4 linked regions of the Arabidopsis thaliana genome follow. The protein of the gene in region 1 interacts with the protein of each later gene in a pairwise test. Each region holds a gene or a part of one and is shown in the gene's direction. Other genes may lie near its edges.

Region 1 (4,902 bases):
TGACCAAATAATCGGTTTTCTACATGCTTTATTATACTAATTGGGTTTCTTAATTATCTTGAATCTGAATTTGATAGGTTACAACAATTGCGTATATCCGGGAGGAGGAGGAGGAGGAGGAGGAGGAGGAGGAGGAAGTAAAGCAGTAATGAACAAGTATGTGAGCTCAGACAAAGTAGAGAAGAAGAATGGAGCAACTGAACCAAAAGTCTCTTCTTCTCTATCTTTTCTACTCATCTTTTTGTCCCTTATCTTCCATGTATATATGTAAATGGCTCAATTAGCTCTTGGAGGTAAGTAATTAATTAATTACGCCTACTTGTTAATCTCCTCTCCTTCCTCTGTATTAAGTGTAATCGAGTTTGTTATTAGTTTATAATGGTTACACACATTCTATCTCAATTGTATTATATAGTCTGTAACGGCTATATCTACTAGACTTCTTTTGGTTTCTTATAAATGAATCTGAATATTATCTTTGGATAAAGTTTCCTATATTCCAATGTATATCTATATCCCTCTTAAATTGTTACATTTTACGCCGTACCTTTATAATTGGGCCTATTGTAAATTTAAACCGGTTTAGCTGGTTCACTTTACTGAATTTACATTTTCTGAAAATAAGGATTTGAGCCGAACCTACAACAAAAAAATGAAAATTTGACCCGGTTTATTTTGGTTTACTCATCTGAAATTACCTTTTATGAAAAGGAGTCGACAAATAATTTACTTATTTTCTTCGGTTAAGGAAAATAACTATTTCCTTCTTAAAAAAGGAATGGTTGATCTCACCGACTCTAGCTAGGGCTTATAAATACAAAGACGCATAGGGTTTCACAACTTCATCACCTTAACACAATTTGTTCGCTCTCTAAATTCTTAAATCTTTCATCAAATTTGCTTCACAGTGAAAAACCTCCTCCACAAGGAACACACAATGTCTTCGAAGATGATCGTGTTGATGAGCTCCGATGGTCAGTCGTTTGAGGTGGAAGAAGCGGTAGCAATCCAATCGCAGACCATAGCGCATATGGTTGAAGACGATTGCGTTGCTGATGGAATCCCTCTTGCAAACGTGGAAAGCAAGATTCTTGTGAAAGTGATCGAGTACTGCAAGAAATACCACGTCGACGAGGCTAATCCTATCTCTGAAGAGGATCTCAACAAGTGGGACGAGAAGTTCATGGATCTCGAACAATCCACCATCTTTGAACTCATCCTTGCTGCGAATTACCTCAACATAAAAAGCTTGTTTGATCTCACATGCCAAACTGTTGCGGACATGATCAAAGGCAAGACTCCAGAGGAGATTCGTTCAACTTTCAACATTGAGAATGATTTTACACCTGAGGAAGAAGAAGCTGTTCGTAAGGAGAATCAATGGGCTTTTGAATGAGCCCATGAATCAAAAACCTAACTAGCTTTCTTTTTCTTTTTTCCTTTTAGTGTTCTTTTTTTTTTTTGCAACTTCTTGATCAATAATGTAGATGATGATCACTTCGTCTACTTTTTAAAATTTTTTTTTTTGATTTGTATTCTCTTGAGATAATCTTTTGTTGGATATTGATATGCTTAACCAATGTGTTTTTATTTTATTTTCTCTTGAGACAATCTTAATTTTATTGGATTATTGATGTTCTTGTAGCCAATTCAGAAAAACAGAATCTATTAGACAAATTAAATTCACGTAGCAAAATAACTAACATGTTTTCTCTTTTCTTGTACTGTAAATTACGTTTCTTAAAAAGAAATATGTAGTTAAAAATCCTTCAAATTCATTATATTGAATCGAAAATCTCGTCCAAAACCAAAAACAATCATAGCTCTTAAACGATATCGTTTAATCATTGTGAGAGGGTCCACTTTAATGGGAACAGTCAATGTCTATTGACCCTCTTCTCTCTCTCTAGCTAGTCTCAGGTCAGAGAAGCCATCATCAACATTCAACAAGAGAGCCGTGTTTGTGTCTTGACTGATTCTTCTCTCAAGCTTTTTTAATCTCTCTCTCTTTTCCCACGTAATTCCCCCAAATCCATTCTTTCTAGGGTTCGATCTCCCTCTCTCAATCATGAACCTTCTTCTCTTCTAGACCCCACAAAGTTTCCCCCTTTTATTTGATCGGCGACGGAGAAGCCTAAGTCTGATCCCGGAATGTCTGTCTCCGAGCTCAAAGAACGCCACGCCGTCGCTACGGAGACCGTTAATAACCTCCGTGACCAGCTTAGACAGAGACGCCTCCAGCTCCTCGATACCGATGGTTTGTGGATTCCTTTTCGTCTCTCTTCTTCTCTCATCTTCTTCTTCTTTAATTTGGATTGAATTTTGCCAGTGGCGAGGTATTCAGCGGCGCAAGGACGTACTCGGGTGAGCTTCGGAGCAACGGATCTGGTTTGTTGTCGTACTCTTCAGGGACACACCGGAAAGGTGACTCAAAGTTTGCATCTTTATCCTTCAAGCATGCTTCTTTGTGGAGTGTTTTCTAGCCTGTGATAAAAAGCTTCCATTTTGGGGTTGTATCTAGTTTGTTATTTAGTTGGTGGTGTTTATAAGATGTTACCAGTTATCATGTATGAGGATTTGCTTAAGATCCTACGGAAATGTAGAGACAGGAGAGTTGATTGTGAATGTTAGCTTGTTGTTGATTTAACATGTGGGATTTGCAGGTTTATTCATTAGATTGGACACCGGAGAGGAACCGGATTGTCAGTGCATCTCAAGATGGGAGATTAATCGTGTGGAATGCTCTAACGAGTCAGAAAACTCATGCTATTAAACTCCCTTGTGCATGGGTTATGACATGTGCTTTCTCTCCAAATGGTCAGTCGGTTGCGTGTGGTGGATTAGACAGTGTATGTTCTATCTTTAGCCTTAGCTCAACGGCGGACAAGGATGGAACTGTACCGGTTTCAAGAATGCTCACTGGTCACAGGGGATATGTTTCGTGCTGTCAGTATGTCCCAAATGAGGATGCCCACCTTATCACCAGTTCAGGTGATCAAACTTGTATCTTATGGGATGTAACTACTGGTCTCAAAACTTCTGTTTTTGGCGGTGAATTTCAGTCTGGACATACTGCTGATGTACTAAGGTATGGATATTGCTTTCATCTCCTTGGCTCATTGGCATCAGTTTGTTTGATAAAGTAGAATATATTTGAAAAACTACTTAATCTTCCAGAACCATACCATTTGGATCGAGTGTTGGAATCAACATATAGGTTTGGTCTTATTGAATAGATACGTTTATTTGACTTGTGTATAAAAGCTAGCATGGATGATATATTGCAAGTCAGTTAAACTCGCCCTCTTACTTGGTGATTATTCCCCATTCTTGCAGCGTCTCAATCAGTGGATCAAACCCAAACTGGTTTATATCTGGTTCATGCGATTCCACAGCACGGTTGTGGGACACTCGTGCTGCAAGCCGAGCAGTGCGTACCTTTCATGGTCACGAGGGAGATGTTAATACGGTCAAGTTCTTTCCGGATGGGTATAGATTTGGGACTGGATCAGACGATGGAACATGCAGGCTGTATGACATAAGGACTGGTCACCAACTCCAGGTCTATCAGCCACATGGTGATGGTGAGAACGGACCTGTCACCTCCATTGCATTCTCTGTGTCAGGGAGACTTCTTTTCGCTGGCTATGCGAGCAACAACACTTGCTACGTTTGGGATACCCTCTTGGGAGAGGTAAGCAATTAGTATTTGAGTAATGAGTGGTGAGAGTTGTTTTCGCTCATGTAAGGTTTATGATTGAAACGTGAGGAGTTTTCTTGCAGGTTGTATTGGATTTGGGATTACAGCAGGATTCACACAGGAATAGAATAAGCTGTTTGGGGTTGTCAGCAGATGGAAGTGCCTTGTGTACAGGAAGTTGGGATTCAAATCTAAAGGTTAGTACTTAGTAGTGTCTCTGCTTATCATTTACCATGTTATGTTTGTAAGGAAATTAGAGGATAGATGAAATTTCGTTGAATTCACACAGATATGGGCGTTTGGAGGACACAGGAGAGTGATTTGAAGAAGATTTAACGAAAGTAGGAGTCACGTCTCCAGTTGTTGGTTAATATATTCTGTAGTCGGGAAGTAAGGTTCGGTTTGTGGAAGGTGTTTGGTTTGAAATAGTGGAGTGGTTAGAAGAATTAAACTTCCCTTTTTGTAGTGTGCTTTGATTTATTTATTTCTTCATTGGGAACTAAACTCCTTCAACACGCTACTCAATGTGAATTCTGTAATCAATTGTGTACCCACCAGTCTTTACTTTACTATCATCTCTTCATATTGAACGCAGACGATAAAACGCTACTATTTTTGAGTTTCTAACTTATGGAGAAAGCCTAGCCTGTTGTACGGTACGGTAGTGGTTTTCAAATCCGAGCAAGATGATCTGTAGATTCCCAACTTGGCGAGAAAACGGGTAATAATAAAATTCAGAAATGAGAAATCAAAAAGCACCGTCATAAAATAAAAAGAAAACCTCCATAGTGTATTTGACAGTAATAATGCAAGGAAAAAAGAAAGAAAGTAATACTATGCTATTTATAATAGTTGATGTATTTTTGAGGTTTAGCAGCAGGAATAGATGACATTCTCTGATACTGAAGAAACGCAAGAGGTTTTAGCCGCTGGCAACAATCTCGTGAATGGCCTCGGCGACAGAAACGTCTTCAGCTCTAACTGTCAGCTTCATTGCAATGTCCTTTGAGCTGTCCATTCCAAACTGTGCCCTCACTAACACTTTCACGTTGCCTATGTACACACCTGACAATAGACACGTGTGTGACCTTGCATTGAGCGGAATTGTCTCCGTCCCCTGTTATTTATCCAGTGTCAGTTTCAATTTCAGGAACACAACAAATGGTCATATACTCAAAAAAGACTTTATCAACAATAATTTT
Region 2 (6,649 bases), on another chromosome or scaffold:
ATACATTTCAGGCTGGCAAATAAATATTACGTATAAAGAAGATTTGATTCGCCTTGTTGAAAGGAGAATGAGATGATTAGGCCATAATTGGATGTCCGTTGACTTTGTTTCTTCCATGATTAAAATTTAAGAAGTAAGGAAGAGAAACAAATTTGAACCATTGATTTTGTTACTCTTAACTAAATAATCATTTATTCAATAACTAAAGGTCGGTTGGTCTTCAGGTACGAACGTTCTTCTATACTAACTTGTAAATTGTAAACGTAACAGATTGTGCAGTAGAGATTGCGGTTACAAATGTTTGACAACGATCACAAAAATTGTTTAACACCGCGTATTCTTCCGCCAACGTTTGCGGCAGCGGGTGGTTAAAAATTACACTATTTTTAAGTTTTAAATTCAAATAAATTTAATAACTTTTTTGACTCTTGGAGTCATGCTCTGAACACAAATGATTCATTTTCCGGAGAACATAAGTGCATTGTATCCGTCTAATCGTCCCAACATACTTCACTATAAATGTAATTTAATACTAACAATTAAATTGAAGTGTTGTTCGTCGCATGCATGTATGTACGTACAATAATTATATAGTTTCATTATCATAGAACTGTCGGGGAAATTGTGAATCATCACCAGCCGCCACATGAACTTATTTGCCGTTGTTCTGGTTTAAGGCTGGTAAGATTTATTCGGCGGCTGTAGGCCTGTAGCCCTTGAAATATGGTAGACAAGATCGTCCATATAATTAAGATTTTGTTTTTCACTTCTAAATTAATTAATGGGTGACTTGGGCGATTTTGTATTGTTGTTTAGTGGCTAGAAAGAAAACTTTTAACGATAAATTTACTTATGCAAAAATTATATTAGTTTAGTTTAGCAACTTTATATGTACTTAATTAGTAAAATAATACATTTAAATGTAAACTATTTGTACATATTAATGTTGTCCAAACAATATGCACTTTTTGAATTTTTTTACTGTATTCTCCACCTAGTTTTTCTAATTCATCCAAGCATTTTGATGAATTTGCATGTCTCCATAGATGAATTAGTATCTACTATCTCTAAAAACTCAATCTCCACCGAAGATATTGCTTAACCAATGTGCTCCTAGACCAAATCCAAAACCTTAGCCGCTTCATACTTAACATCCACTTTTGTAGCATCCTCAAACTGTTTTACAACCTTTTCAACCGGGACACAATCGCCTTGTCTTAGTAGTGAAGCGTAGGTTAATCATGGATGATGATTTTTGTTCTTTGACAACATCTGGTAAGGTTTTTGGTTTATGGCTCACCCTTTTTACTTTTTCGGTCTTTCTTATATAGTGTTTTGGTGGGTTTTTTCTCGTTCATTTTTCACGACCTTCTTATCCTATTACTAGGGTCATTAAATTGTTCGTTAGGTTAAAGAGATTTACAATATGAAACCGATTATGTCCATTAAAACGTGAATAAGACAGAAAAGAGCACCAAGAAAATGAAAAATAATTTAATGTATGTTCAGGAAATCCTATGAAAACATAATGATTGATCGGGTTTATTGGTTTTGTAGCTGGTGGTTTAAGTGGTTAGGGAAGCTATGTATTTATAATTTATTGATTCAATATGGTTTTGCATCTGAAATATATTTAAGCCCAACCAATAAATATACCATCACTCGCCAAGACCGTTTCTCAGTGGAAACATTTTGTGAGAAGTTCAAGTCGATGTTAATGATTGTAAGGATTTAACGGATGTGATGTTTTTGTAGGTTGAAGATTTAAAGTACTATATGATATGTTGTGTTTTTATCGATTTTGAATCTTTATTTTCTTTCCTAAATCAAAACTGCAATATATTTCCTAAGCTAGCAAAACCCATTCTAGATATAAGTAGAGTCCAGCTTGTAATGCAACTGCAAAGCAAAAATCAAGATATTTCGATACAAGGACTTGATGTCATAAAATTCCAAATTTGTTTTGTCTTGCCACACTTAGTAATTCTCTTCCAATAATGGTTAACTTAATAGTATATAAAATAAAAATGCATATAGGTTCCGTAATTAATCTTCTTTATCGTCACGAGAGGCACATCTTTTTTCAACATTTGACCACTCTCTCTCTCTCTCTCTCAGGACCTTTCGGCGTAATTTCGTCTTCCCCTTTGCTTAACATTTTCTTTCTTTCTTTTTGACCAAATATTAAAAATATATCCATTTTTATTTTATTTTTAATTAAATTCATAATTTGCATTTTATGTATTTATAATAAAAAGGAGAGAATAAATCCAAAAGAGTGAAGCAAAAACATTAAAGCGGAAAGAAAGTGGTAAAACAATAATAGAAACAGGAGAAGCAGAAGTACTACTTCTTCTTCTTCTGCTCTCTTCTCAGACCTTGTTTTGTACTTTCTTCTTCTTCTTCTTCTTCTTGTTTGCGAACTCCGATATCTTCTTCACTACCTTTGACTCCATTTCTTTTTCTTCTTCAGGTGAATTCTACTTTACTTTTCTTCTTACCCCAAATTTACTCTTTTGGGTTTTATGAAAGTTTTGTTTTTTATTACTCAGATCTTGTCCTAGTTCTCCTCCTTGTTCTGTTGTTTTTCTGTTTCGTTTCGAATTGGTTTTGTTTTTCAAGTTTAGGGTTTTGTAGATCAGTTCGTCGTTACTGTAGATTGGAAATGAAAATTATGATTCTTTGGATCTGATTATAGCAGTTCAAGTGTGAACTCTATCTATTACTTGATTTGCTATCTCACAGTTTTTGAATTTCTTAATGGTGTTAGCTACTCGACTTTTAGAGCTCATTTTCTTAACTACTGAACTTGTTTCATTTGAGAGGTACTAATCCAGTATATATTATAAAGTTTAATGCTTTTTCTTACTTGCATTCTTTGAACATGTTTGCTATTTTGGTGAGTGAAACTTTATGTATATTTATGAATTTTGAGCTAAAGTATTGATTGTTTCATAAGTAGGTGTAGGCATTGTCTTGTTATGAGAAGCAACTGTAGCTGGAAGCTCAAGTATTTGTTTTTAGCTGTGGAGCTTGAATCTTGATAGTTTTCGACTTCTATGTTATTACCTGTGGGGATATAGAAACAATCATGGGCTTACTCTGCAGTAGAAGTCGACATCATACTGAAGATACTGATGAGAATACACAGGTTGACTTAAGAGCTCTTGTAACACTCGATGTATGGGAGCATTATTTCTGATACTTCAAGAGTTAACTTGGTTTGTATTAATCTACAGGCTGCTGAAATCGAAAGACGGATAGAGCAAGAAGCAAAGGCTGAAAAGCATATTCGGAAGCTTTTGCTACTTGGTATGTAGACCTTGGATTAGAAATGTGAATGGCATGCCTTGATGAATCTTTTGGTAATAGTTTTCCTCTAATTTTCTGACTTGTGTTTTGTAAAGGTGCTGGGGAATCTGGAAAATCTACAATTTTTAAGCAGGCAAGTCCACAAGGAAAATTGATTGTACTCTTTACTTAAATTTACTTATGAATCCTGCTAATTGAATGATACAAATTTACTAATTTGCAGATAAAACTTCTATTCCAAACGGGATTTGATGAAGGAGAACTAAAGAGCTATGTTCCAGTCATTCATGCCAATGTCTATCAGACTATAAAAGTATGCAATACTTGAAATGACTGTGTCGGTTTTATCCTTCTAATTGGCGGTGTTTTCGAGTTCTTTTGGATTTACAATCTAGAGAATCATTTATATGAGTAATCAAATTTTTTTCATATGTTGATCTTGGTATATTGTACATGTAGCTTAATAGCTACTCTATATTGTTGAACAGTTATTGCATGATGGAACAAAGGAGTTTGCTCAAAATGAAACAGATTCTGCTAAATATATGTTATCTTCTGAAAGTATTGTAAGTGGTTAGATTCATAGGTCACTTGAGCTGTCTTTGTTAGAGTTTTGAGTCTTGTGAGTACCTTGTCTTATGGTAGTCAACTTATTATCGTAATATCAGGCAATTGGGGAGAAACTATCTGAGATTGGTGGTAGGTTAGACTATCCACGTCTTACCAAGGACATCGCTGAGGGAATAGAAACACTATGGAAGGATCCTGCAATTCAGGTGTGTTTGTGTGTGTGTGTGCACGTTTTATTTACTATTGCACTCAAAGTTGAATACATGATTTAAACGTTTCATTTTGTAGGAAACTTGTGCTCGTGGTAATGAGCTTCAGGTTCCTGATTGTACGAAATATCTGATGGAGAACTTGAAGAGACTATCAGATATAAATTATATTCCAACTAAGGTATAACCAAAGTATCATTCTTTGTTGAAAACATTTCAAGTAATGATCTTAAAATGGTTGAATAAAACTCATTGGATCAGCCTCGGAGGATCAATGTATTAACAAACAGAAGCCTTTTGCTTTCCATATTAGCCTAGTTGAGCTAGCATTTTCAGAGACCAGAGTCAATATGCAATTTCTGTGACATGTGTCTTCCGGAATGTGTTGTCATTGGTGCATTTTTTCTATGTTGGTGTTTCAGGAGGATGTACTTTATGCAAGAGTTCGCACAACTGGTGTCGTGGAAATACAGTTCAGGTACCAACTACTTTTTGTTTTACCCTTTTTCCTGTTTGATTGTTAGTCTTTCATAGATGAGTAATTGTTTGATAAGCTCTAAGTGTTAGTCTGGTTCACTAGGCAATATGATTAGCTAGGCGGTTTGTAGTAGCTGTGTTAACAGCTCAGCAACAATCTTGTTAATGTAGTCTCTCTGCGATGTGTAAGTTATTTGGTGAAATGAATAAAAGTGTTTACGGATTCGATTCCTATGATTGCCACTAAGATGTACTAATAGAACATATGAATTCCATACCAATATCAAACTTGTTGTTGTGGTGAATCTACTTGTAATGATCCGTTACCAAAGATGAATTCACAAATGGTATATGAGATAAAGCTTCGTTTATGCAGCCCTGTGGGAGAGAATAAAAAAAGTGGTGAAGTGTACCGATTGTTTGACGTGGGTGGACAGAGAAATGAGAGGAGGAAATGGATTCATCTGTTTGAAGGTGTAACAGCTGTGATATTTTGTGCTGCCATCAGCGAGTAAGCTCACTTCATTATAAATTATAAGATATCCTCGTACTGTCCACATATTGCCAAAACATTAACTGAGTTTTGATCATAGGTACGACCAAACGCTCTTTGAGGACGAGCAGAAAAACAGGATGATGGAGACCAAGGAATTATTCGACTGGGTCCTGAAACAACCCTGTTTTGAGGTTTTTAGTTACATTTTTATCTCATCTTTTAAAAATTTAAAGACACTCTTGAGATGGGTTTGGTTACAAAAACTTGGTTCTCTTTACGCAGAAAACATCCTTCATGCTGTTCTTGAACAAGTTCGACATATTTGAGAAGAAAGTTCTTGACGTAAGAAGAACTAAAGCATATTTATTTGTTTTGATAGGCAAGCAAGTCTTTTTGTTCAATAACGCTTTCTTATTCAATGTGCATAGGTTCCGTTGAACGTTTGCGAGTGGTTCAGAGATTACCAACCAGTTTCAAGTGGGAAACAAGAGATTGAGCATGCATACGAGTAAGCTTGTCTCCAAACTTTACTGATTCCCGCCAAACTGTTACCGTTATATGACCTTATTTTTAATTTGGATTCAGGTTTGTGAAGAAGAAGTTTGAGGAGTTATATTACCAGAACACGGCGCCGGATAGAGTGGACAGGGTATTCAAAATCTACAGGACGACGGCTTTGGACCAGAAGCTTGTAAAGAAAACGTTCAAGCTCGTAGATGAGACACTAAGAAGGAGAAATTTACTGGAGGCTGGCCTTTTATGACCTTATTATTACATATCTCTAGTAAATTACCTCTCCTTATTATTATAAGAAAAACTCGAAAACTGAATGACCGTGTAATTTATCTTTCGGGACAAAAGACTTAGCGATTCAAAATCTAATGTGTCTCGATGGCTACGACTAGTTTCTATTTTATCATTGTTTTTGTTAACATTCCTCTGTCTTTGACTTCTTATTTTTTTTTCTCATCAAAAACATCTCATTTTGATCTTGTTTTTGGGGTTATATTATTATTAAAATGAGGCATCCACATCCCGAAATCTAGAAAGTGAAACACAACACAAAACGTAACTTTATCAGTACTAAAAAGTTTTGGAATGTTCCTAACATGAAAAAGTTCTTACATTAAAAAAAAGTATGGGGGTGAAACTGAACAAATACAAAATATGATGTAAAAACTGAAATAAAAGTAAAACACATGGGGTCTACCGTGATTTCAGAACATTCGAAAAAGCGACTTTAAAAATAATTGCACCGAAGAAAGAAGAACCCTGAAAGCAAAAAACTCTTCGCCGTTGTTGTTTCTTACGTCAAAGAATATTCCTTCTTCTCTTTCGTTAATAGATCCCAAAAAAAAAAAAAAGCTTCATTGATTCTTCTTCCTCTGTTTTTGATTCCGTTTTCGAGCAATCCTCTGAAACATGTATGTTGTTGTTCTCTCTTTCTTCCAATGGTGTTCTGATTTTGCTTTTTCTGTTATACGATAATGATAACAATCGCTTCTTAGTTTGATTAATACGAAACTCTCAAAGATCACGAAATTGGTTTTGTTAGGGAACCATTTAGATCAAGGCTTGTTTGTGA
Region 3 (3,841 bases), on another chromosome or scaffold:
ACATTTGTACTTTTGTGTCTCATAAGCAAAGAGAGACACATTATTTCTTATTTATATACTTTCTTTTCATAATCAAAAAAATATTAGACCAAACCAAGATTATGCTCTGAAATTTGGAAAAAGTGAGATCTTTATTTATTTAACACGTTTAGTACTATGGTCTATGGATGATTTATGTTCACATTGTACAGTGCTACTAAACAGGTAGTCTTTATCTCGTTGTATGCATATAAATAACATTTCATATGTTACAAGTCACAAGATAGTACAAAAATCGATTGAGTCAGAAGTAGTAATAAAATAACAATTCTCTTATTATTTTAGTAAATGATATCTCAGAATTTTATTTTTCAATTAAGATTAACACTTTTTTACGTAAAATATAGGATCAATTTCTCTTTTCAGGTACATGCACTAACTTAACCTTACTTTTTCTATTAATTCTCTAAATAATCTTGGTCTCCTTATCATTTTTGAGGTAAATAACATTTTTGTTTATTATAAAATTGTTTGTGTCACCAGTCTTAACGAAGAGAAGTACATAGATTTGAATTTTGCGCACTACTATGTTACTCGAGTTCATCGAAGTATCTCAAAGAATTAAACCAACTAAATCGCTAAAAAGAGTTTACAAAATTGAAGCCCAACTCTCCAACAATGAAGCCCATTCCATTCGATTTCGAACCTAAAGTTATTATGTAGAAATGAAGCAAGTTGTGTAATATAGTTTGGCTAAGATGCTGGTGGACACAAAGATAGCTGGAAACACAATATCAAGGATGGTTCACATAATCACATTATGAGTTGGAGATAGGTGTTGCCGTGTTTCTTACTAATATTATCTTTTCCTTTTCTTAAAGAAGGATATATGTAGTGGGAGAAATATGGACAGACTCATAAAATCTCAAGCGAATTATCAAAACAGGTAAGAACGTTACGTAATGTCCATATGCGCATGGTAGCGTTTTCATGCACCGACTCTTGACCACTGACTTAGTCAATCTCTAGCCGATTTCACATCATTCTTCATTTCAATATTATTTTTTATAGCAAAGACAAAAATACTCTCCAATTGTAGACTAAAAATACTCTCTAATTTGTATGGTTTCTCACTACGATTAAACCAAACTAAATTGTAGACCGATTTGGTTTCGGGGTTATAAGAAAAATCTTATCAACATAATTTTCTACATCTATATTTGTCTAATATTTTTTATGCATAATCGATCTTACCAAAACATACCAAAAAGGCACAAACTCTTTAAAATCACAAATATTTGATGTTCGCGGTTCGGAATCGGTGTTTCTTACCGGAAGTCAACTTGTTGGATTTTTGCTTATGGCTTTTTGTTGTTTATGTTGTAGTCTGTTATAGTTTTTGTTATTTTCTTCTGCTTTCGATTTTTTCCTTCTACTTATATTTTTCTGTAATTTTTTTCAAAAGCTTGCAAAAAAATATAAATATTTAACATTGATATAAAAAAAAAGTTTTACAGTTGATTTCTTTTTGTGAAAAAAAAAACTCAATCCTCAAGACCAAAAAAGAAGAGCGAAACAAAAAAAACAACCCAAGAATAGGTTTAAGAACTTTAATTTTTTCCTATTTCTGGATTAGTTGTCAATGTCATTAAATTCAAACATTCAACGGTCAATTTTTACGCTTCTTTAACAGCTAGCGAATAATATGACATAAACCTTCATTAATTCAAAAATCATTTTTCCCGTGATATGTTTTTTTTTTCTTTTACCTAAAAATTAACTTTGACCCACTCGCGTTCGAGAAGCGTATGATAACGACTAATTTAAAATGCATACATTTTATTATCTCTATATTCACATCCATACATATATAAATCTCTCATCCCCACTTGTGTTCTCCATTAGTAATAAACGGTCAAAGAATGGGACTTTCATTGAGAGTGAGACGTCGTGGAGGAAGTGTTAGCAAGAAAGAGATCATTCCGGTGACAAGTTGCTCGGAGGAAGTGGAGATAACCATACCATCGCAGTTTCAATGTCCGATATCTTACGAGCTAATGAAGGATCCGGTGATTATTGCCTCGGGGATCACTTACGATCGCGAAAACATCGAGAAGTGGTTCGAGTCCGGGTACCAAACTTGTCCCGTTACAAACACGGTTTTGACAAGTTTGGAACAGATTCCGAACCATACGATTCGGAGGATGATTCAAGGTTGGTGCGGGTCGTCACTAGGCGGCGGGATTGAACGAATCCCGACGCCTCGTGTACCCGTGACCAGTCATCAAGTCTCCGAGATTTGTGAGAGGTTATCCGCTGCTACGCGGCGTGGAGACTACGCCGCGTGCATGGAGATGGTTACGAAGATGACGAGACTAGGAAAAGAGAGCGAGAGGAATCGAAAATGCGTTAAGGAAAACGGCGCGGGATTGGTTCTTTGCGTTTGCTTCGACGCGTTTTCCGAAAACGCAAATGCGTCATTATTATTGGAGGAGACTGTGTCTGTGCTGACGTGGATGCTTCCCATTGGTTTAGAAGGTCAATCCAAACTCACCACGACGTCGTCGTTTAATCGTTTAGTGGAACTGTTGAGAAATGGTGATCAAAACGCTGCGTTTTTGATAAAAGAGCTTCTTGAGCTTAACGTAACTCACGTTCACGCGTTAACAAAGATCAATGGCGTCCAAGAAGCGTTCATGAAATCGATTAATCGCGATTCTACATGCGTCAACTCGTTAATATCAATCCACCATATGATCTTGACAAATCAAGAAACCGTATCAAGGTTTCTTGAATTGGATCTTGTGAATATAACAGTGGAGATGCTAGTGGATTCAGAAAACAGCGTTTGCGAGAAAGCGTTAACGGTATTAAACGTGATTTGTGAAACTAAAGAAGGAAGAGAGAAAGTGAGAAGAAACAAGCTGGTGATACCGATTTTGGTGAAGAAGATTTTGAAGATTTCTGAGAAGAAAGATTTGGTTTCTGTGATGTGGAAGGTTTGTAAAAGTGGTGATGGGTCTGAAGTTGAAGAAGCGTTGAGATTAGGTGCGTTTAAGAAGCTTGTTGTCATGTTACAAGTTGGATGTGGTGAAGGAACTAAGGAGAAAGTTACAGAGTTGTTGAAGATGATGAATAAAGTTATGAAGATGAATGGTTTTGTTGATCGTTCTTATTCTTCTTCAATTGAGTTTAAACATGTTAAGAAACCATTTTAATACATTTTGTATAGAGGAAACACCACAATTTTTTTCAAATCATCAATGTTTCCAAAAACCGGATTGGACCGACGGTTTGATAAACCAGACCTTATTCACAAAGCTCTGTTTCTTATTTCCTCTGTTTTTAAAACCCTCTCTTTGTAAACAGTGTCTCTTAACCAACTTGTAAACCACAAAGCCAAACTCATTTATATTGAGGCAAACAAATCACATATACAATTTGGTTTTGTTTACAAAAGAATTGATTATCTACAAAGTTTGATCCAAAAACTGACTTTACAAAAGATAGTTTTCTTCAGGAAAAATCATACCAAGACATCTCTGATCTCCAAAGAAATCATCTGCAGATTCAAGCAAAAACACATTCTCTGAACTTGGAAACTCATACTTTGGCTGCAGCACTTTCCTCTGTTGCTCTGCAAATTCTTCACAGCAATTCGAACAAACAAAAAGTGGAGGCAAAGTATCTGAATCATCAATCCCACAACATCGTGTATGTTGCCATACCTCACAAACATCACAAGATATCATCCTCTCGCCATCATCATCTCTAGCTCTGCAAATACATTTCACCATCCATGTATCACATCCACCTTGACACTTGAGTTTTGATTCCAAATCTATCCCATGACCTCTCACTG
Region 4 (5,628 bases), on another chromosome or scaffold:
TATTCTGAAAATAATAATTTAACCTATTAAAATGTAACCTATTATTTACTTTTCTCTCTCTCCTACTTTATTATTATTTTATATTTTTTAGTTAGTGAAAAACCATACTAGAGACTACTGATGGAGATGTTCTTATCTTTTCTGTCTATTTTTGACTTTCATGATTCGCTTTTAGTTTCTTTTCTTCGGCTTCGCTTTTGGGTTTTCTATTTTAGCTTTTTTCTTTTTGCTTATAAGAAAAAAAAAAAAACTAATTATGTACTTATTGTAGTTTAATTATAGTAATATTCTTTTGATTTTTTTTCTTTTTTTTCCTACTAAACAGTTAAAGATTCACGTACTACTTATCAAATTCAGTTCAGACAGTCGGACAATATCAATAGGTGCACCTAAATTTCATTCCAAGTTTTACCCTACCACAAAAAAAAAAAATCATTCCAAGATACAGGCCTAAATACGTGTACAGAATGTTAAATCACCAGGCCCAATTATGGCCCATATTCAAATATCAATAGCACCTAAATTTCTAGTTTCTACGTCCCTTCTTCATTTTTTCCTTGGGTCAACTAAAATTCAAAAGTCCTATTTTCTAAAATAAGCTAATATAGAAGCAAAACAAAGGAATTGGGTTATTTTAAGTCCAGATTTTTCAGACAAGTCACCGGTGAGCGGTGGCTGCGTATCAGAAACCTTGCCGTGAGCATTGCTAAATAATAAACATAGATAGGGGAATAAGCTCCAAAATAAGCTCCCTTGTATCCTACCATTGTGTTACAATTTAGCATTACGCCGAGTTGCCAATACTGTCTTAATTTTCCCTTTGATCCCCATATATGAGACACCTCTGATCTGTTCTTCACCGCATTTTTATGATTGACGGTTTTGCTGATGGTTAGTACATTAGAACTTATTAGATACCAGAGAATGCAAATACATTGTATAATCCCCATGTGGCCACGTTCCGTTTATGAGGAGTAATATTTTATACAACTATCACATTCTTCTTTACCCAAAAAAAACGAAAAAAAAAACTACCCAATCTTATAGCGAAGATGTGTGAGATCCAATGATGAAGCAATTAAATTATTGCTAGTGAATTCATGTCATTATGCGAACACGTACTACTTGAGAAAAGTACACCATATAGTTTTCTTGTGATGGACGGTGAGGATTCAGCTTGGGAAACGATGTCGTAACGTTTGGATGCAGAACGTCGGGCGCACGATTTGGATATCTCTTTTTTTTTTTTGTCTCCCCTATCCTCAAGTCAGGGATTTTATTACAACTTTGAATATTTATTTCCTTTTTTTATGTCGGCCTTCTTAAAACTTTTCAAGATTTTCAATTAGTCACTAAACTTTCCATTTTATCTTTTTCACTCTATTATATAATTTTAGATGTAACGTAAAATATTACTATTAGGATGTGAGATAACATAATCCAACCACAATTATATCGTTATCTAGTAACATTAACTATATATTATAAGTTATAAATTGAAAGGAATCTCTTGAGAGTAACTATTTAGGGCCTAATTGTGAAACTAAAAACGTGTAGGGCTGAAACTAATAACAATTCGTACGTTGGGTCACTATTAAATCATCAAAGATCTGTAGAAAATAATGAAAAAGTGGCCCCACACGCTCCAATTAAATTACAGCAGCTCCACAAAGTAGCTCTTAAAGAGCTTCCATCACGGACCAGATCCCGAATTCTTCTTCTGACCACCGAACGATTGAGTTTCTCCGATCAGATCTCAGTTTCTGGGAATAATTCGAAGTTAGTATTTCTCTACTTCATCTCTATGAATCTCATTCATTTTATCTTTATGTTTCTCTTTACTTGTTTTGCGATTAAAACTCGTTTGATCATTTAGGTGGTTCTTTGTTTTGTGAGATAAGTGGAACTCGCTGACTTTTTTTTTTTTCTTTTTGGATAATCAACGATCGGGTTCATTTGCTATTGTCCTCTAGTGTTACACTGATACGATCTTTAGTTTTGAGTTAGATCAGTGACTTTAGTTTCACTATTCAACTAGTGTTCCTTGTTTTTAGGACAATACTGCGAAAATTTAGCTGCTCTAAAATTTTGATACCAGATCTTTGAGATTCGTAGATCTCGCTTTTCTTTTTTTTTAGTTTTTTCAGAAACTAATATTGTGTTCTGGTCAATTCTTATTGCTAAAGGTGAAAAAATGGCGCAGCATCTGTTGCACGGGACTTTACATGCTACCATCTATGAAGTTGATGCCCTCCATGGTGGTGGTGTTAGGCAAGGCTTCCTTGGCAAGGTATAATAAGATCCATTGTTATTGCATCATTTTTGCGCCAATCCTGACGTCTTATTTTGTAGTTCAAATTAGTCTGTGGACTAATACACAGTTTGATCTTTATTTTTCTGATGAAACTTTCAGATTCTGGCAAATGTAGAAGAGACGATTGGTGTTGGTAAAGGAGAAACACAGTTGTATGCGACGATTGATCTGCAAAAAGCTAGAGTTGGGAGAACCAGGAAGATCAAAAATGAACCTAAGAACCCAAAGTGGTATGAGTCGTTTCATATTTACTGTGCTCACTTGGCTTCTGATATCATCTTCACTGTTAAAGATGATAATCCCATTGGAGCTACCCTTATCGGAAGAGCTTACATTCCTGTTGATCAAGTCATTAACGGCGAGGAAGTGGATCAGTGGGTTGAGATCTTGGATAATGACAGAAACCCTATTCAGGGAGGATCAAAGATTCATGTCAAGCTTCAATATTTCCATGTTGAGGAGGATCGTAACTGGAACATGGGTATCAAAAGTGCCAAGTTCCCTGGAGTGCCATACACATTCTTCTCGCAGAGACAAGGCTGCAAAGTTTCTCTGTACCAAGATGCTCATATTCCAGACAACTTTGTCCCTAGAATTCCTCTCGCTGGAGGGAAGAACTATGAGCCTCAAAGATGTTGGGAGGATATTTTTGATGCTATTAGCAATGCAAAACACTTGATCTACATTACTGGTTGGTCTGTTTACGCTGAGATTGCTTTAGTGAGGGACTCGAGGAGGCCTAAGCCTGGAGGTGATGTGACCATTGGTGAGCTACTCAAGAAGAAGGCTAGTGAAGGTGTCAGGGTTCTTTTGCTTGTTTGGGATGACAGAACTTCTGTTGATGTGCTGAAGAAAGATGGGCTCATGGCTACTCATGATGAAGAGACCGAGAATTTCTTCAGGGGAAGTGATGTCCATTGTATTCTGTGCCCTCGTAACCCGGATGACGGTGGTAGCATAGTCCAAAGTTTGCAGATCTCTACTATGTTCACGCATCATCAGAAAATCGTTGTTGTGGACAGCGAGATGCCAAGCAGAGGAGGATCAGAAATGAGGAGAATTGTGAGTTTTGTTGGCGGTATTGATCTTTGTGATGGAAGATACGACACTCCGTTCCACTCCTTGTTCAGGACATTGGACACAGTCCACCATGATGACTTCCATCAACCTAACTTCACTGGTGCTGCTATCACTAAAGGTGGTCCAAGGGAGCCTTGGCATGACATTCACTCCCGTCTTGAAGGTCCAATTGCTTGGGATGTCATGTACAACTTCGAGCAGAGATGGAGCAAGCAGGGTGGTAAAGACATTCTGGTTAAGTTGAGAGATCTTAGTGATATTATTATCACCCCTTCTCCTGTTATGTTCCAAGAGGACCACGATGTGTGGAATGTCCAATTGTTTAGGTCCATTGATGGAGGAGCTGCTGCTGGGTTTCCCGAGTCGCCTGAAGCTGCTGCGGAAGCCGGGCTTGTAAGTGGGAAAGATAACATCATTGATAGGAGTATCCAAGATGCTTACATTCATGCAATCAGACGTGCTAAGGATTTCATCTACGTTGAAAACCAGTACTTCCTTGGGAGTTCTTTTGCTTGGGCAGCCGATGGTATTACTCCTGAGGACATCAATGCCCTGCACTTAATCCCAAAAGAGTTGTCGCTGAAGATAGTTAGCAAGATTGAGAAAGGAGAGAAGTTCAGGGTCTATGTTGTGGTTCCAATGTGGCCAGAAGGTCTCCCAGAGAGTGGATCAGTGCAAGCTATATTAGACTGGCAGAGGAGGACCATGGAGATGATGTACAAGGATGTGATTCAGGCTCTCAGGGCCCAGGGTCTTGAGGAAGATCCAAGAAACTATCTGACATTCTTCTGTCTTGGAAACCGTGAGGTCAAGAAAGATGGAGAGTATGAGCCTGCTGAGAAACCAGACCCCGACACTGATTACATGAGGGCGCAAGAAGCACGCCGTTTCATGATTTACGTCCACACCAAAATGATGATCGGTAAGTTCACATTTCAACGGAAAAAAACTTGAGAAGTATACATAAATGTTGTGCCTGATTCATTTGATGAAATCCATTTTGCAGTTGACGATGAATACATTATCATTGGGTCTGCTAACATCAACCAGAGGTCAATGGACGGTGCAAGAGACTCTGAGATAGCAATGGGAGGTTATCAACCACATCACTTGTCCCATAGACAACCAGCTCGTGGCCAGATCCATGGGTTTCGTATGTCACTCTGGTACGAACACCTGGGAATGCTCGATGAAACCTTCCTCGATCCATCAAGCTTGGAATGCATTGAGAAAGTTAACCGCATTTCTGACAAGTATTGGGACTTTTACTCAAGTGAGTCACTCGAACATGACCTTCCTGGTCACTTGCTCCGCTACCCGATCGGTGTAGCCAGCGAAGGCGACATCACTGAGCTTCCAGGATTTGAATTCTTCCCGGACACAAAGGCCCGTATCCTCGGCACCAAATCAGACTACCTGCCTCCAATCCTTACAACCTAATCTCACTAAGCATGTCAAGTAATGATCTCTCTCTCCCTCTCTGCTTTGCTGCTGTTGTAGCTTTGAATAAAACTTGAGTGTCTACCTTTAGAATTAAGAAGTCAAATGGTTGTTATGATGATGCACTTCTTTACCCCTTTGGTTTTTATATTCGTACAATGACGTGGTGAGAGAATGTAGCTTTGTGATCTTGTTTTGTTGTTGTTATGTACCTTTGGACTTATGAATCTTATATCTGATCCTTTTCTTTTTATTTAGTGTGTTTCACATCAAAGTTTAAACAAAAATAGCAATGAACTAGGTAAAACATACTTCATTAGAAAAGTGAAAGTGACAATCTAGAGATAAAGCATGAAACTAGGGTTCATATAGCACAAAACTAATACAAAAGGGGTTTTAAAGTTTTAAGCCGGAAACAGGGCACGACACACCGGACAAATCCCACTGTTCCTAAGCCATTCCTCTCCACAAGTACGATGAAACACATGCGAACACGGCATTCGACCCGCTTCCACATCTGACCCAACTCGGATATTATCCATGCATATCACACAATAGCCTTCATTCTCAACAACAAGCGTCTCCAAGTGCATCTCCACCGCCTCATCGTTCGCTGGAGCAACCGCAAGTTGCACTTGCACATCTACGTGATCATCTTCACCGGGAAACCTCGAGACAGTAACACCTATCTTTACTTGTACCCTCTCCACGTCTTTCGCACCATCTTTCTTCAAATCCTTAATCTCATCAGCAAGAGTGTTAACAATAGCAGAATAAGGAGGGACTTGGAGCGA

What was found.
Region 2: the proteins of AGB1 (region 1) and GP ALPHA 1 interact in binary tests that used the Arabidopsis thaliana proteins (3 or more experiments, as listed by UniProt).
Region 3: the proteins of AGB1 (region 1) and CMPG1 interact in a two-hybrid assay, tested with the Arabidopsis thaliana proteins (one study listed by BioGRID).
Region 4: the proteins of AGB1 (region 1) and PLDALPHA1 come close enough for resonance energy transfer, tested with the Arabidopsis thaliana proteins (one study listed by BioGRID).

What each region holds. Positions count from the first base shown.
Region 1 is NC_003075.7:16,476,516-16,481,417, reverse strand, and holds AGB1 (GTP binding protein beta 1), read left to right. Parts: upstream 1-1,797; 5' UTR 1,798-2,151; coding exon 2,152-2,257; intron 2,258-2,329; coding exon 2,330-2,424; exon of another isoform or gene 2,425-2,648; coding exon of another isoform or gene 2,649-2,663; coding exon 2,664-3,088; intron 3,089-3,336; coding exon 3,337-3,694; intron 3,695-3,772; coding exon of another isoform or gene 3,773-3,783; coding exon 3,784-3,897; intron 3,898-3,989; coding exon 3,990-4,025; 3' UTR 4,026-4,387; downstream 4,388-4,902. Other genes in the region: AT4G34480 (O-Glycosyl hydrolases family 17 protein), read left to right, coding at 78-271; SK12 (SKP1-like 12), read left to right, coding at 938-1,396; AT4G34450 (coatomer gamma-2 subunit, putative / gamma-2 coat protein, putative / gamma-2 COP), read right to left, coding at 4,623-4,817. UniProt on the Arabidopsis thaliana protein: Guanine nucleotide-binding proteins (G proteins) are involved as a modulator or transducer in various transmembrane signaling systems.
Region 2 is NC_003071.7:11,194,996-11,201,644, forward strand, and holds GP ALPHA 1 (G protein alpha subunit 1), read left to right. Parts: upstream 1-2,000; 5' UTR 2,001-2,473; exon of another isoform or gene 2,474-2,825; intron 2,826-2,962; 5' UTR 2,963-3,091; coding exon 3,092-3,151; intron 3,152-3,239; coding exon 3,240-3,312; intron 3,313-3,407; coding exon 3,408-3,445; intron 3,446-3,535; coding exon 3,536-3,625; intron 3,626-3,800; coding exon 3,801-3,878; intron 3,879-3,980; coding exon 3,981-4,088; intron 4,089-4,170; coding exon 4,171-4,272; intron 4,273-4,513; coding exon 4,514-4,569; intron 4,570-4,944; coding exon 4,945-5,079; intron 5,080-5,161; coding exon 5,162-5,255; intron 5,256-5,346; coding exon 5,347-5,406; intron 5,407-5,492; coding exon 5,493-5,572; intron 5,573-5,649; coding exon 5,650-5,827; 3' UTR 5,828-6,107; downstream 6,108-6,649. UniProt on the Arabidopsis thaliana protein: Exhibits a fast rate of basal nucleotide exchange. Guanine nucleotide-binding proteins (G proteins) are involved as modulators or transducers in various transmembrane signaling systems.
Region 3 is NC_003070.9:24,635,317-24,639,157, forward strand, and holds CMPG1 (CYS, MET, PRO, and GLY protein 1), read left to right. Parts: upstream 1-1,879; 5' UTR 1,880-1,901; coding exon 1,902-3,197; 3' UTR 3,198-3,292; downstream 3,293-3,841. Other genes in the region: MMD1 (RING/FYVE/PHD zinc finger superfamily protein), read right to left, coding at 3,477-3,841. UniProt on the Arabidopsis thaliana protein: Functions as an E3 ubiquitin ligase.
Region 4 is NC_003074.8:5,328,641-5,334,268, forward strand, and holds PLDALPHA1 (phospholipase D alpha 1), read left to right. Parts: upstream 1-1,553; 5' UTR 1,554-1,779; intron 1,780-2,186; 5' UTR 2,187-2,194; coding exon 2,195-2,290; intron 2,291-2,413; coding exon 2,414-4,316; intron 4,317-4,400; coding exon 4,401-4,834; 3' UTR 4,835-5,105; downstream 5,106-5,628. Other genes in the region: AT3G15740 (RING/U-box superfamily protein), read right to left, coding at 5,239-5,628. UniProt on the Arabidopsis thaliana protein: Hydrolyzes glycerol-phospholipids at the terminal phosphodiesteric bond to generate phosphatidic acids (PA).